Tamandua tetradactyla: one gene and its partner. The protein of the gene in region 1 purifies or fractionates together with the protein of each later gene. This does not show direct contact. Links are inferred from orthologs where the notes say so. Each region holds a gene or a part of one and is shown in the gene's direction. Other genes may lie near its edges.

Evidence for each region.
Region 2: the proteins of STRADB (region 1) and CAB39 purify together in Homo sapiens (affinity purification with mass spectrometry; 3 studies listed by BioGRID and IntAct, counting the BioPlex papers as one, with this or other methods). This does not show direct contact. The link is inferred for Tamandua tetradactyla from reciprocal best matches to the Homo sapiens genes STRADB and CAB39.

Annotation. Positions count from the first base shown.
Region 1 is NC_135329.1:175,947,735-175,955,132, forward strand, and holds the start of STRADB (STE20-related kinase adapter protein beta), read left to right. Parts: upstream 1-4,398; 5' UTR 4,399-4,681; intron 4,682-5,839; 5' UTR 5,840-5,920; intron 5,921-7,398. UniProt on the Homo sapiens protein: Pseudokinase which, in complex with CAB39/MO25 (CAB39/MO25alpha or CAB39L/MO25beta), binds to and activates STK11/LKB1.
Region 2 is NC_135329.1:206,623,591-206,630,641, forward strand, and holds the start of CAB39 (calcium-binding protein 39), read left to right. Parts: upstream 1-4,028; 5' UTR 4,029-4,138; intron 4,139-4,461; exon of another isoform or gene 4,462-4,970; intron 4,971-7,051. UniProt on the Homo sapiens protein: Component of a complex that binds and activates STK11/LKB1. In the complex, required to stabilize the interaction between CAB39/MO25 (CAB39/MO25alpha or CAB39L/MO25beta) and STK11/LKB1.

The DNA of each region.
Region 1 (7,398 bases):
GGCTTCCCATAAGATATAAAATGTAAGTGGGTTCCTCAAGGATGGGAAAATTTGGATAGTGAGAATGGAGGTATCGGTTAGATAAAGGGGGAAAGACATTTAAGGTTAAAACTAATCAGCAGACAGAGTCAGTTTGGCAAGAGTGAACAGATAAATTTGAGTAGGAAGGATTACAGACAGGGTAATTGGAGATTTATACTTGATTAGTTCAGATTAAGAACTCTAAACTTTAACCTGCAGGGAACAAATTTCTAAATGGAAAGTGACATTCGAGAGAAACAAATCTGGAGACAGAACACAGGACAAATTTTAAGACTGGAAGGACAGAGACAGAAAAAGAACTAAGAAATTCTATCGCAGCATACCTGGATGATTGTAATATAGGTTAAACTAGGTAATAATAATGGAAACAGAAGGTTTTGTGGGGCAGTGAAGGTAGGGCTTGTTAACTGATAAACTAGATAATGGAAGATGAACTTTATCTTCTCCTAAGAGATATCTACAACATTTGGTATATACCTCAATCATTCAGGCTTGAAACCTCACAATTTCTTTTGCTTCTCATTCCCTGAGAATTTTCTTTCCCAGACATTTGGAGCTTTCCTCAATCTAGTCCCAACTGACTTCTCCAACTTCCTTCCCCAGCCACATAATACATTCTAGCCCCAGAAAGGGGCTTTCTGTAGACAGACAAGAAATTCACAATCCCATAATTTTTTTCATACTACTTCTTATACTTTCAATGTCCTCTCTCCCATCTACATATCCAAATTCTAGACATTCTTCACATCCCAGCTCAAATATAATCTTTACCATCAAGCCATCCCAGAAGCCCCAACTCAAAGCACTGCCCTCTCCATAATACCCTCCATTTTCCTCGAAAACACTTATTTTTTACTTCGGATTATGGTTGTTCCTCATCTCCTCTGATAAGCTGTACACCCCTTAAGGTAGATACAGCCTTTTTTTCTTGTATTCCCTCTCCTTCTTTCATTGGTAAAAATCCTAATAAATATTATATGGCAGCAGTACAATAAAATGAGTAAGAACACAGACTGAAACCAGACTGCAGCCAGATTGCTTGAGTTTGAACCTTAATCCTATCATAAACTTGTAATGAGACCTTGGGGATATTTTATTGTAAAATGGAATAATAATGACAAGTATTACATAAGGTTGTCAGAGAGTTTGTAAAGATCTTAGAACAGTGTAAGCACCACAAAAGCGTCTATTATAAATACATAAAAGCACTATTTAGAGAAGAAAAACACTTAAATATTCCGTTATTTCACTAAAGCTTTATGATCTACGGGAAGCAAAATGCCAAAAACAAGGCCATTCTCTAGGTACAAACAACTATATACAAATTTTTCCTAAATCTTATTTATGCTCTAAGGGCAAGCTAATTAGTCTCCACACCTCCAGTTTTATCCCTTTTAACCGTTCCCCAAAAGGATAAGAGAGTAGTCTTTCTAAAATGCAAACATTTTTCTACTGCTAAACGCTCTCTCAATTCCAGTCCTTTTGGATAAAGTTTAAATCCCTTAACAGCCCATACAAAATCTTCCTAATCTGGCCCCACTCTAGTCTCTGACTTCATCTTTAAATATTTTTAATCTCCTCCCCATACCCCAAAGTTTTTTTGTATATCATTACCTTTGGCTGCAATACCCCTTCCCTCCTCTTCTCTGTCCAGACTATTTCCCATTTGTTTTCCCAGACTGCCCAAGCCTTGCCATCCAGGCTGATTTCAGTCCCCTTTCTCTGGGTTCCTATAACACTCTTGTACACTGCTCTCTGTACACAGATCTCTGCACACTGCTATCATATTGCTTAACACATGATCACATCTATCTTTCTCTCTTCAGACTGCATTACTTAGGAGCAGAAGCTATATCCCTAGCATCTAGCACCGTGTTTAGACCTTGAAGAAAACGTCTGCCTTTTTACTATTTTGTAACTTTCAGCAAGCCACTAAATGCTGAGTTTCCTACTCTGCTTAAGTTATTGTAAAAACAAATGATGTAATTATATAAAAGTGCACAGTGTAGGTTTGGTACACAGTTGGTGCTTAAAAAATGAACAAGTAAAAATTCTGATATTACCTAGGCTTGCAATCCAGCTCTGCAATTTACTCTCTGAGTGACTTTGGGCACAATAACTTATCCTTTCTTTCCCTCATTTGCTTACTTACCAAACACTTCACAGCACTATTATGATGATTTATTTAAATGGATCTCTACACACATTATTGAATAAATGTTTTTTATTGTTATCACAAGAATACTCCAGATCTAAATACCTATGATTGGGAACCATGAATAATTTCTGACTTTACTGAGTCATTTAAATTTGAGCATTACCTGAATGCCTCAGATTTCTTACTGATGAACAAGATAGTAACTAAAGAGCATCAAAAACTGGTACAGATGAAAAAGAAAAAAAAACTGGTACAGATGATGTAAACAAAGCTCAAAATAAACATGAAATAATATATTATCATTTGTTTCATTCTTTATATTTGTGCATCAAAAAAATGTTTCAAGAAACAAGTTTTCCTACCCTCTGTGATTTAGGTGTTCACCACTTTTAGTGAGGAAAAAAACTCCTTGGCTTATATTTTTAATTGTAGAACCACATATAAAATCTTAGAACTGGAAAAGACCTTTAAGATGAAAATCCAAACCTGTGATTTCTTAAATAAGTGAACTGAGATGGATTTGGAGTGGATTTTTACCTACTTAATGAGCAGCTCAGAGGAGGACAGAAATTGCAGCCAGAGGGAAAAACTTGTATATTTCAGGAAGTCCTACATGTACTGGAGCCAGTATTAGGAAATAACGCTGGAAAATATTTTTTAATCAATCTTTAACATCAGTACTTCTGACTAAGTACAGGTTATTTGACCTGCAGATTTGAAGCAAGACAGAATGAGGTTTGAACTTCACTTGCTATAAAAGCAAAGTCACGAGGTTGTTTTAGTTAATGAAGGGAGCTCAAGTAGTTCACAGTTGGGGTGCCTAGTAAATTTAAAGGATTCAAATATGGGTTCTTTTTGATCCCTTCCATTGTATGAATAAAAATAATATATGGGAGGGAAAAAAACAGTCTCTCATATAGTATGTGCTCGCTAAGTGTCTGAGACTTGTTGAACATTACTTAATTTTAAAAATAGAAGCCAGATAACTGCTCAAATGATAGGTCTTCATCCCTGCCCTTCCTCACCACCAAATGTCCTTCACAATTTTTCAAATGTCCTGTCACCACCAATGAGATGCTCTTTGGAAATCAACGTAGTTCAGAACTCCAACTAAAAAGCAAAAATTTGAAAGTCGAGAAAAAATACACCAAAATGGAGTAAAATCTGAAAGTGTCCCATTTCGTTTTGTTTCTAACAGTTCTAGAAATCCAGCTTAGTGAATTTCCAGTGAAAAGTTACATTTTCCTGCGTGTAGAAACAGCAAGTCTAAATAAAAGGTGAAAAGGCAAGTAATTGAGGCCACCTCTATTATTATGACCTCAAAATATTTTAAGTATTTGGGAGATAATCTTCATACAAAAAAAAAGAACATCTGCCAAAATCCATTATTTACGCTTGAAACTAAAGCCAACTGTTCCCGTTCTTAAAAGATACATGGTGCCTGAGACAAAACCAATCGCTCGAAAAGTCAACTCAACGCAGGAAGAGCTCTTTTAAATACCCTCTCCCTCTCGCTCTTATTACAGATGGCGAACCCGGCTTAAGGTTTAACTTCCAGGCACCGAAGCCACTCATCGCTCAAAGCCCGGGCTCCAGATGGATACTGTCCGGCGAACGATGAGCGGCTGCCAATCCTTAGAGGTGCAGCTGGAGTGAACTCGGAGACCAGAGCCCATCGCCCATCACTTTCCACCCACACTTGGGAAATGACCCACTTCCCCCCACAGGGCGGGGACCCGGCAGGGACTCAGCCCTCCCCACCCAGCCTCCGGCCCTACCCATATTCCGCGCGAGACCTCTGAGGACCCGAGGCTCCTCCGCCCTCGGGCAAGATGACAAGGGCAAGTTTGAGTCATGCGTTGGAAGGTTACTCACGGGAATGGCCTGGCGTCCTCTGCCCACCGCCTGTGCTCGGTCAGAGAAGTCCCTAAAGCGTCCGCAGAGTAAGAGCAGTTGCTGGGGTTACTGCCATGCCGCTAACCACCCGGCGTAGCAGGAACCTGCAGGCGACTTCACAACATCTTCATTCACCGACCTCGGTTCTGCAGCAACACCCAGTCAATGGCAGCCCCCACACAACTGGCGAAGCGCGAAAGAAACCCACTGTCCCAGCAGCCTCCACGGCGCCCGCACACGACCTGCTGGGAATTGTAGTTTCCTGTGCGGCCTGCCCCCTCACCATCCAGACTAGCTTCGGGCCCGCCACGCCCCCAAGACCCGGGCACCGCCCCTTCGCTACCCGATCCTGGGGCGGAGGCGGGGCCACGACCCGGGGCGGCTGGGGTGAGGCAGGTCCCCGCGGGTTGCCTGAAGCTAGGGCAGAGTTCCAGGCGGACGGCCCTTGTCCCGGTCGCGCCGCCCTTCAGTGCCCCGCGGCCCATGTAGGGAGCGGGCCTAACGCCTTGCTTCGCCCCTCCGCTGGTCCGGCTCCCGGGCCCGCCGACCGCCTGAGAAGAGTCGCTGGCCATGGTCGCCGCCAGGGTAATGAAGGGAGGAAGGGGAGAGGTGGTTCTGGGAGCCCGTCGGGTTAATCCGCGCAAGGCCCCGGGGAAGTTCGAGGCCAGCATTTGCTGATCCCGCGAGTCCGGCTCCGCGTGGCGGGCTCCCCGCGGTGAGCTGCCAAAGAGCCCCCCGCAGCTCGGACTCGGCGGAGAGTCCTGGGCCTCCCGCCCCTAACCCCCACTTGGTGGCGGAGGCACCTGCGTGCCCGGTGGGCGGTACCTGGTGGGCGGTGCCTGCCGGGTTGGCCGGGTCCGGTGTGCGGGGTGAAGCCGCGGGTAGTGCTTTCTTCACCCAACTCTAGCCTTTGGCCGCGCTCCAAAGCCCAAGACACCCTCTGGCTCGGGCTTTATATCTCAGGCCACCTTTTGCGAGTTCGCTACAAATCGCCCCAAAAGCTGGTCTAGGAGGGAACCTTTTACAAAATTAAATGCCCAAGCATCGTTTTTGTCTTCGGTATTTAAGTTCAGCGTTGTATTTCCCCTCGGGAGCTTGTTGTGTTAAATACTTTTTCCTCAAAACTTGATCTTGTTTTGTGACACGGCGCCTGCCTAACTAATTGCTTGACACACAGTAGGTGCTCAATAAATATTTGTGGAAAGAATGAGTCACGATACCAAATTTGGAAAATTCTGTCTAGCTGTGTATTGCTGTAATTTTTAAGATCTTATGGGTTCCCAAGATCACTTTGAAAATTATAGTAATTTTGAAGTTCAACAAAGAGACAAGTTCTTTTGCGTTCCCTGTAACAGTGGTCTCTGTTGAATTTTTTTTTTTAATGTGGTAAGTTATTGTTGCTTTTATTTATCTATAAGATAAATACTTACTACATAAAGCAGTCCTTGCCTGAAATTATAAATACCCTGTACGGGGTTAAAGAATGAATTTTTCTCTTGAATATATGTACGATTTAGCTTTGTATAAAACATGTTTTTCTCATTATTATACGGCGTTTATAAAGATGTCTTAAGATTTCAAGTCTAAGAAATCTGTGGTAAGAGCTTTTAGAACTACATTAGTTGAGGTACACTTTTAAATATTGCTATACACATATTCTATAGCCTGAATCTATTTAACTTGAACATTAGATTTTTCTCTATTGTTTTTGTTTTTCTACTATAATATGTCCTGACTGTGCAGCAGAGGTTCCTGACTGAGGGCAACTTTGACCCCCAGGAGACACATGGCAACGTCTGGCATCATTTTGGTTGTCACAACTGGGTGAGAAGGGAGATACTGGCCTCTAATGGGTAGTGGCGGGGGATGCTGCTAAATGTTTTACAGTGCACAAGGCAGTCCCCAAAACAGTTATCTGGCCCCAAATGTCACCAATGCCAAGGTTAAGCCCGTGTTATAGAGTATGACACAGTTTCCATTTTACAAATAGCCCCTCAGTCCACTGTAATTCTGAAAACATTCTTTGCTAACTACCAAGAGCATTAAAAGATTTAACCTAATCAATATAAATACCTGCTCATTACCAAAAGCAATGATTAACTTTAAATTTCAAATGATGTTCCAGAATAATTAAACCACAAAATCAACTAACAATGATAGAGATTACATATATCCTAATATATATGTTTGGATATATATTAATATGGTATTATATTAATATAGCATAATATATACAGTATGTATACTAATATATATTTTCTTAAATCTGCTCTACTAGTTTAATCTGTTAATAATGAAAAGTTACTTAGCAGTGTTTTGAGGTAACCATGCAAATAGCTTTTTCACGTTTTCCTGACATGATTTCAAGAAAGCAATCAATGATATATTAAACACTTGAGGGGGTGCAAGGTAATTCAGTGGTAGAATTTTCGCCTGCCATGTGGGAGACCTGGGTTCGATTTCTGGTTCATGCACTCCCCCCCCAAAACAAACAAAAAATTCAACAAATGGTGCTGCACTGATGGGATACTAACATGGAAAGAGAATGAAATGTGACCCCCCCCACCATACAGTATACAAAAAAAAGAGGAACTATGTAAACCTCTGGCAAATAGCAAAGTGCTGTACAAGTGTTCTGAATATATGTATCACAACAATATTAAAAATGAAGGGCTCCACTTATTCAAATTTATCATGAGCATGATTTTCAATAAGTTAAATTTATTTGTATTCAACTTTACAGAAATGTCTCATGAATGGTTTATTTTACAAAGAACAGTGCATATGAATGGGGTATTTGACATAAAATTAAGAAGTCAGTTGTCTTTTTCACCTGATTTCTAGTTGTTAAAGTATCCATGTATGAAATGAGAGTTTTCTGAAAAGAGAACCAAATTTTTAAAAAATCATTCTGAATTTGCTATATAGAAATTCTCAGTAATTTACTATTCATCCCCACTTTCACATTTTATATATTTTCTCATGTTCAACAAACTGAATCAAATGATTTAAATGATCGTTTCTGTAGTAATATTTTTATTATTACAGGAATAACAATTATAATTATTATTTCTGTAATAATTTTAAACCATGGAGTTATCTTACTTTCACCACTGGCTGCTTTTATCAGAAATTCTTCTAGTACTTCCTTTGACTCAACAATTGCTTTTAATCTCTTTAGGATCTGGATCCAAAGTTACATTCTTTCTCACAAACAAAATGTAATCAATTTCATGTTCAGCTATCGTTAGATTGAACCTTGTAGTGAATTCATGTTGCACAATTTCTTCTGGAGGAACCTC
Region 2 (7,051 bases), about 31 Mb from region 1:
CGGGGGAGTAGTTCTGGTGTCCATTGTGTGGAACTGAACAAGTGATTGCTGAAACAGAAGGAAAGTGAAGGTCACTGAGCTAATGTATTGGATGAGTGACACTTACATTGCCCAGGAGACGTCAGGTGTGGGGTGGGGTAGGGAGGGAAGCTATGAGTCAGGCTCCAAAGTTCTTTTGCAGAAGGTCTGATTAAGGCAGGGTGGAGCTTCCACACTTTCCAGCTTCAAAGGAGGAGAGTGAGGGAAATGAAAGCAATAGACCCCTTCCACAGTCCAACTCAAGGAAAAGGATCACCCTGAGCTCCACAGGCACTGGAGATCCAAGGGACTCCATGTGAGATGAAGAGGTGGAAGAATATTTTAGAAAGAAGTTGTGCCTAAAAATAAATATATTATTAATAGAAAGGCTTTCCAGAGAGTCCCATAGAAAGGTTAAGAAGGTCCCAGTGTAAATCCAGGTGGTCAGATGATGTGGTTCCTTCTGTTTGATTTCAGAACTTGTTACAAAACCCTGCTCCAGAAATTTGTACTGTCTTGCTGTCACAATTCCCAGCTGTGGTGGATTTATCAATGTTAAGGGATTAATCTGGAATCCTACTCTGATCCATAGAGCAAAGGAATCAAGGCGCTGTATATAGGATTTATTCACCCCCGTGCACTCTTTTATGTGGTGGGAAATTGGATCATGACTTGTTTTTGCAGAATACAAGTTACATAAATCCTCTTTGGGACTGCAGTTTAAAGGACTTTCCTCTTTTTAGAGAAAAGCAGTGGGGTAATGTCTTTATGGAATAAATTTTCAAAATTAGGTATCACTTGTGGTATACCCATTTCCCATTTGAGGGTGTACACTTTTAGTAGAGAGGCAGGAGAAAGCTCCAGTAACCAGCAGCTCCCCACCCCCACCCCATCCCAGTCCAATTCCCCACCCTCCTCAGAGCTTTTTGTCACCTGGTTTTTCTAATAGTTGTCTAATATACTTGAGATACATTGTGCTTGGTTAGGGTGGTTTTCTCTTTTAATATGCTGATGTCTTTTCTTATACGTCATGATTTTTCTTTATTTAGGTATATTTGGGGTCAAGATTATTCTAGCTTAGATGGATTGTATGGTGTGTGAATAATAAAACTGCTTTAAGAATATATCCTAATGTTCTTTTTCTTCTTCTTCTTCTTCTTCTTTTTTTTTCTGCCTTTATTGAGTGTTTGGTATCCTGGCAAGAATAAGAATAATCAACTTCACCTTAGAGCTTTTTCCTTCTTAGAGCTCTTTCTTTTTCTGGAGTGATGCAAATGTTCTAAAAACAATCATGATGATGAATACACAACTATGTGATGATATTGTGAGCCACTGATTGTACACATTGACGTACGGATTGTATGTGTGTGAAGATTTGTCAATAAAAAAATAATGACCCTGGTTGAATCAAACTGTTCACCTTCTCATCCCCAACCTTCCCAGCAAAGTGTGGCTGGTGAAAAGCATAATAACCCTGTGACTGGCCCTTCTTTACACCTTCTCATCTCTCCTCAGACTTCTAACACCTCCTCCCCCTCCATGCTCTGGGCTGATGACCTTGCTTCCTGTTTCAAGAAGAAAATAGAAGCCCATGGAAGGGAATTTCCACACATTCCTGGCACCATGTCTACATGCCTCCTGGCTCTGTGCCCACACGCTGCATGCCCTCCAAGGCCAGACCCTCCACTTGGGCGCTGCATGGGTTCTTCTCACACACTCAAGGACAGCTCTCCAGAAAATGCCCCCCCACACACACAGGTCTTCCCTCACCACTGAATCATTCTCATCAGCATTTAAGCATGCTATAATGTATTCCATCCTAAAAGCAAAAAAAATCAAACAAAAAAATCAACTTTGACCTCTTATTCCCCTCCCAGCTACCACCTGATTTCTCCACTGCCCTTTAGAGCAAAGCTTTGACACTCATGGTCTCTCTTTCAAGAGGCTTGTTCTTTCTAGAGAGGTTTCTAGGTCTCATTCTTTCTAGAGTCCATACCAATCAGGTTTTCCCACCCACCTCTCCACTGAAACAGCTCTCACTAGTTTTACCTAAATGGTGCTGAAATCAATGGCCAATTACCAATACCTGGCCAACTCCCATTACCTGTTGGGCAGTATGGATCCATCCCTCTTCCTTGAAAGGCATCCCTGTTCTTCCACACATCAGGCTTTCCTAGCCATATTCCCACTCTGGTTCCTTCTTACAATCCTCTGCTAATTCCTGTTGTCAACTTGACCTTTCAATATTGAGGGCTTCAGGCTCAATCCTTGGCCTTACTTCCAAGATTTCACCTACTCTTAGGACTCTCCAGGTCTCCAGGCCTCTTCCCAGACTTCCATATCCAGTTTCCTCTTGGGTGTGTCAGAGGCAGTTCAAAATTAATATGCCCCCAAATGAATCCCTGAGTGCCTCCCTTCACATCTGTTCTTGCTTAAATCTTCCCATTTCACCAAATTGCATTAGTCTAGCTGGTTGAGACAAAAACCCTAGAAATTGGCAAAACACCTTCTAATTGAATCTAGAACCTAAACACTTCTTTACATCTCCATTCCTACCACCTGGACCCATCCCCTTCCTTTCTTGAATAGATTATTTCAACAGCCTTCTAACTGGTCTCCCTGCTTCAACCTTTGGCCCCGTTAGTCTAGTCTTCACAGCCAACGTGATGCTTTTAACATGTCAGACCACATCCCTTTTCTGCTCAAACTTCTCCAAACAGCTTCCCATCTCATTCAGAGTAAAACAGTAATAATAATAAAGCCCTTATTTGGTCTCCATGGCTCCTACTCACCCACCTACTCCCTTCTCCGCTCACTGAGGGCACTTGCCTTGCTGGCCTTCATGCCGCACCTCAAACTCTTCAAGCACAGCTGGCCTCAGAGCTTGGGTCCTTGCTATTCCGCCTGACTGTCCATATGCTACCTTTGGGTAGATGCTCCCTGTAGAAGCACAATCAATAAAACAAAACTACCCATTCTCTCTCCTCCTTAGCCTGTGTCGGTTTACTCAACAGTACTTAACACCTTCCAATAACACCCATGTACTGGTTTGTGTGCTTACTGTTTTGTCTCAGACACTACCCGTTTTGTTCACTGCCCCACCACCTAGTAGAACAGCATGTGGCCCGCAGCAGGTGCTCAAGAGTTATTTCTTCACTTATGCATTAAATACTACCAAAAGCAAAACAAAGACACCAAAATTCATGTTTGTTATTTTTACGTCAGAGCTTCTTTGCAATGCATTATCGCGTTCATCGGGAACTAAGACACCAGGACAAAAAACAGCACACAAAAAATACTAAATGGTGGAGCTGGGATTTACAGCTAGACTGTTGAATCCTAATAATTTGGAACATAACATCACTTTCTACCCTCTTTTACGGAGGATGCTAAAATGAAAACGATCTATGCCTTGAAGTATGAGGGGTTCCGTCTGTAACAAAGTCGGCCCCTGGCTTTTAGCAGAAATAGTTAAGAGTTGAGGAAGTGGTAGTTGAAAGTGGGGGTGAGATGCCTTCAGGAAGAGTGCTTCCATAGACAAGCGCTGCTGTGAGCAGTGGGGAACACCAGCATTTAAACCGCTGATGAAAGAAGCCACCTCCTCTGCTTCTTTTCTCTGCGTCCCCTCGCGCCTCGGCCTCGGCGCACGCGTCCCCCGCCGCCCTGAGTCCGCCCCGCCGCCCGGGGGCGCCCGAGACCAAAGGGGGCGTTGCAGCGCTGCCCGACGTCGCGCCCTCCGCGGCTGCGCAGTGTGCGCGTCAAAGCCGGGCTCGGGCCGGAGTGGGGAGCGGCGCGGCCTGGAGAGACTGAGCCTTCGGGAGCCGAGGCGGAGACTAGGGAGGCGTCAGGGTCCGCAGCCGCAGCCCGAGCGAGTGCAGTAGCGCGGCGGTCGCCGCGGGAGTCCCTGCGCCGCCGTCCGCTCGCGCAGCCGCCGCCGCCGTCGCCGCCGCCGGAGCCAGTCTCCGGGAGCAGGAACAGGCGGAAGACAACGGAGGGGCCGAGCGCCGGAGCCGCGCCGCGGGGACCGAGCGAGCAGCCCAAGGCGGCGGCGGCCGAGGACGGGGACGGCGACGACGCGGAGGCGGAGAGGGAGCCGCCTGGCCCGGCCCAGCCCAGCCCCGTGAGTGACCCCAGGCCCGGCCCTGCCCGAGGCGCGGACGCCCCTTCCGCCTGCCCTGCCTGACCGGCCCCGGGTCTGCCTCCATTTTCTCCGGCGTCGGCGGGAGCGGCGGGGCCCGGCCTGCCCTCTCCGCCCCGGTCCGGGTCCCTCACGGAGCCGTCCCCCCTTGCCTTCTCCGGAGCGGGATGCCTGGGGCCTGCGACCCGGGGCCCTGGGAGCCCCGCGCTGTCCTGCCATCCCTCTCCGCGGCTCCCCAGCGCGGCCAGCGGCGTAGGGACGGCCCCGACCCGAGTCGGGAAGGCTGGGAAAGTGCGGGCCGGGCCAACTGTCACTCCCACCGCACTCGGGGCTCCGGGTACCTCGCTCCCTTCCCGTCCGCAGCCAGGCCCCTAGGAAACTTCCTGTTATCGGGAGGCAGACACCGCCTTTGTAAACATCATTTCAGAAAAATGCCTGACTGGTTTCTGGTTAGGAATTGTGCCGTCGGAGCGTTCCCGAGTTTGGTTGAAGCAGCCTGACTGCCGACTGTGCAGGCGCGGTAGTCGGTCGGCGCCGGGGGATTCAGAGGTGAACCCAACCTCACAGTCCCCTTCCCTGAGGAGCTTGCGCTCTGGTGTGGAGATAAAACGAGTGCACAAATAACCCTGATACCAGGAAGGAGGTGTAAGTCCTGTGCAAGAGCTACAAAGTGCTAGAAATGCACGCAGGGAAGACGGAACCGATCGATCACTTCCGCCTAGCAGGAATCTGCAAGGCTTCCTGGGCGAGGCGGTGCCGAGCAGGGTTTTGAAGGCCGGATGGGATTTAGGAGTGAAGTGGTGCAGATGCGACGGTATGTGGAAGGGTAGCCAAGGGAGAGGACAAAGTAAAAAGACATACTGTAGAAATAGTGGATAATTCAGTCTGTTGCCTACGATTAGAGAGGAATTCTGGGGCCAGATCCTGAGTGCTGTAGAGGGGCTATGTGAGTTGCATTCTAAGAAAAACATAGAGCTCATTTCTCAGTGACTCATGAGCCCGGAAATGTAGAATAAGGATGTTAAACTCGGGCCTGAGGAAGAAGAGGGAGAGGGAGGCCCAGTCAGAAGTTGACATTCTATGCCTTGAACATAATGAAATTTGAGCTCGATTTTGACAGTTTCCCGGATATTCAAGTAACTCCATGTCCAGACTAAGCAAAAAACCTTGACTAGACATCAGATTCTTAAGAAGTAATGGAAAGACGCGTGTTAAATAAAGCTCATCTGCATATAGACATTGCTTTTGGTGCCTTTACAAAAATGCTTCAAAAGTTCTTGCACTATACTATGTTTCGGTAGCTAAACTTTGAAATTACTGCTCTAAACTAAACTACTTCTTTGAGATGGCATTTTTGTAAAACAGCCTAAAATATTCTTGGATAGAAATTTGTCCATAGAAAATTATTATAGGGAAGGACAATTTTTTTGTTAGGTTTTTGTTACGAAAATCTTTATAAGAGAGGCAGAAGTGAAAGCTTTTAACTCTATCTTGTGCGGTTTTTTTCAGGTTACTTACCAAGTAATTTAGCAACTGTATTTGAATTCTCAATTATATGACCTATGGAAAAATCTTAGAACCTCTTTTGGTTTGTAAGTACTTATAGCTGTTTGCTTGTATGACAAGTGAATGTCGGTTTACTTTTTTCAGTTTAACAAAAAAGCTTTCTGACTATTAGGTGATGCATTATATTTGTAAAAGGCCTGCATGTATGCAAGTACTGGAAAATAAAACGAAAATTATCTTCTGTAATCTTGCGGTGTAGGTTGGGTTACTGTTAATGTTTTTGTATATTTCCTTTCCAGTCTTTTCCTGTATATTTTTCTTTACATATTATATAGTGCATATATATATATATATATATATATATATATATATATATATATAATTCTTACATTATGCTTTTCTTTTGGTCATTAAATAACTTCACATAAAAATAGTTTTACTCAAGCAAGGGAAGTTGTAAGTGTTTTTTGTGTGTCGTCCCCCGCCGGACAGAGTAGCATTGTTTACTTCAGATGAAATGCTGCAGTTGTATTTAATAACTGCTGTTGAGGACAGAACTTTTTTTCTAAAGGATTATATTTCACTATTAAATCCTCTAAAATTTGGATCCTTTTGGTTATTTAATAAAGTGTTCATTATTTGACAGGATGCATGCTTTCAGGTATGGAATAGAGCACACAGATATCGATGTGAGTGGAAGAATGAAAAAAAAAGCATTCTGTTATAAATATTGATTTCATGGCTAGTATGGTATCTCCCATATGTTGTAATGCAGTTCCCCTTTCCACCCCGTGAAAAAATAGTCATTATACTGGGACCATCCATATAGGTCAACGACTTTTTGGTCATAATGCCGCAAAGATTGACTAGATGTATTTAGTTTTTTCATTGGTAAAATATCAATATTTACTATATTTTTAGTAAAATATACTAAATATGATGAGTGATTTGTCTAACAAAAGAAGATTTTTGTTTTTTTGTTTCAAGGCATGTCAGTTTAGGTCAGCAATTCAGACTGCAGATTCTTGTATTAAGTTTAAATTGAGAACTTTGTGTTCTAAAACTTATTAATGCTGTCCCTGTTTCTGTTTCTAATGACATGTAAAGTGAGATGCCAAGTTAGACTATAAATTTTCATAAAGTTAATATAAAAGAATAGCTGAGAAAGCCTAATTTAAATATGGAGTTTGGCTTTATTTGAATCTTTTTTTAAAATTTAGTATTATTATTTTTCTTTTTGCATGGGCAGGCACCGGGAACCGAACCCAGGTCTCTGGCTTGGCAGGCGAGAATTCTGCCACCGGGCTACCATCACGCTGCCCTATTTAGATCTTTCTCTTTTCTTTTTTTTTTTTTTTTAACATGTTGCTCATGTGCAGAGTTACAAGC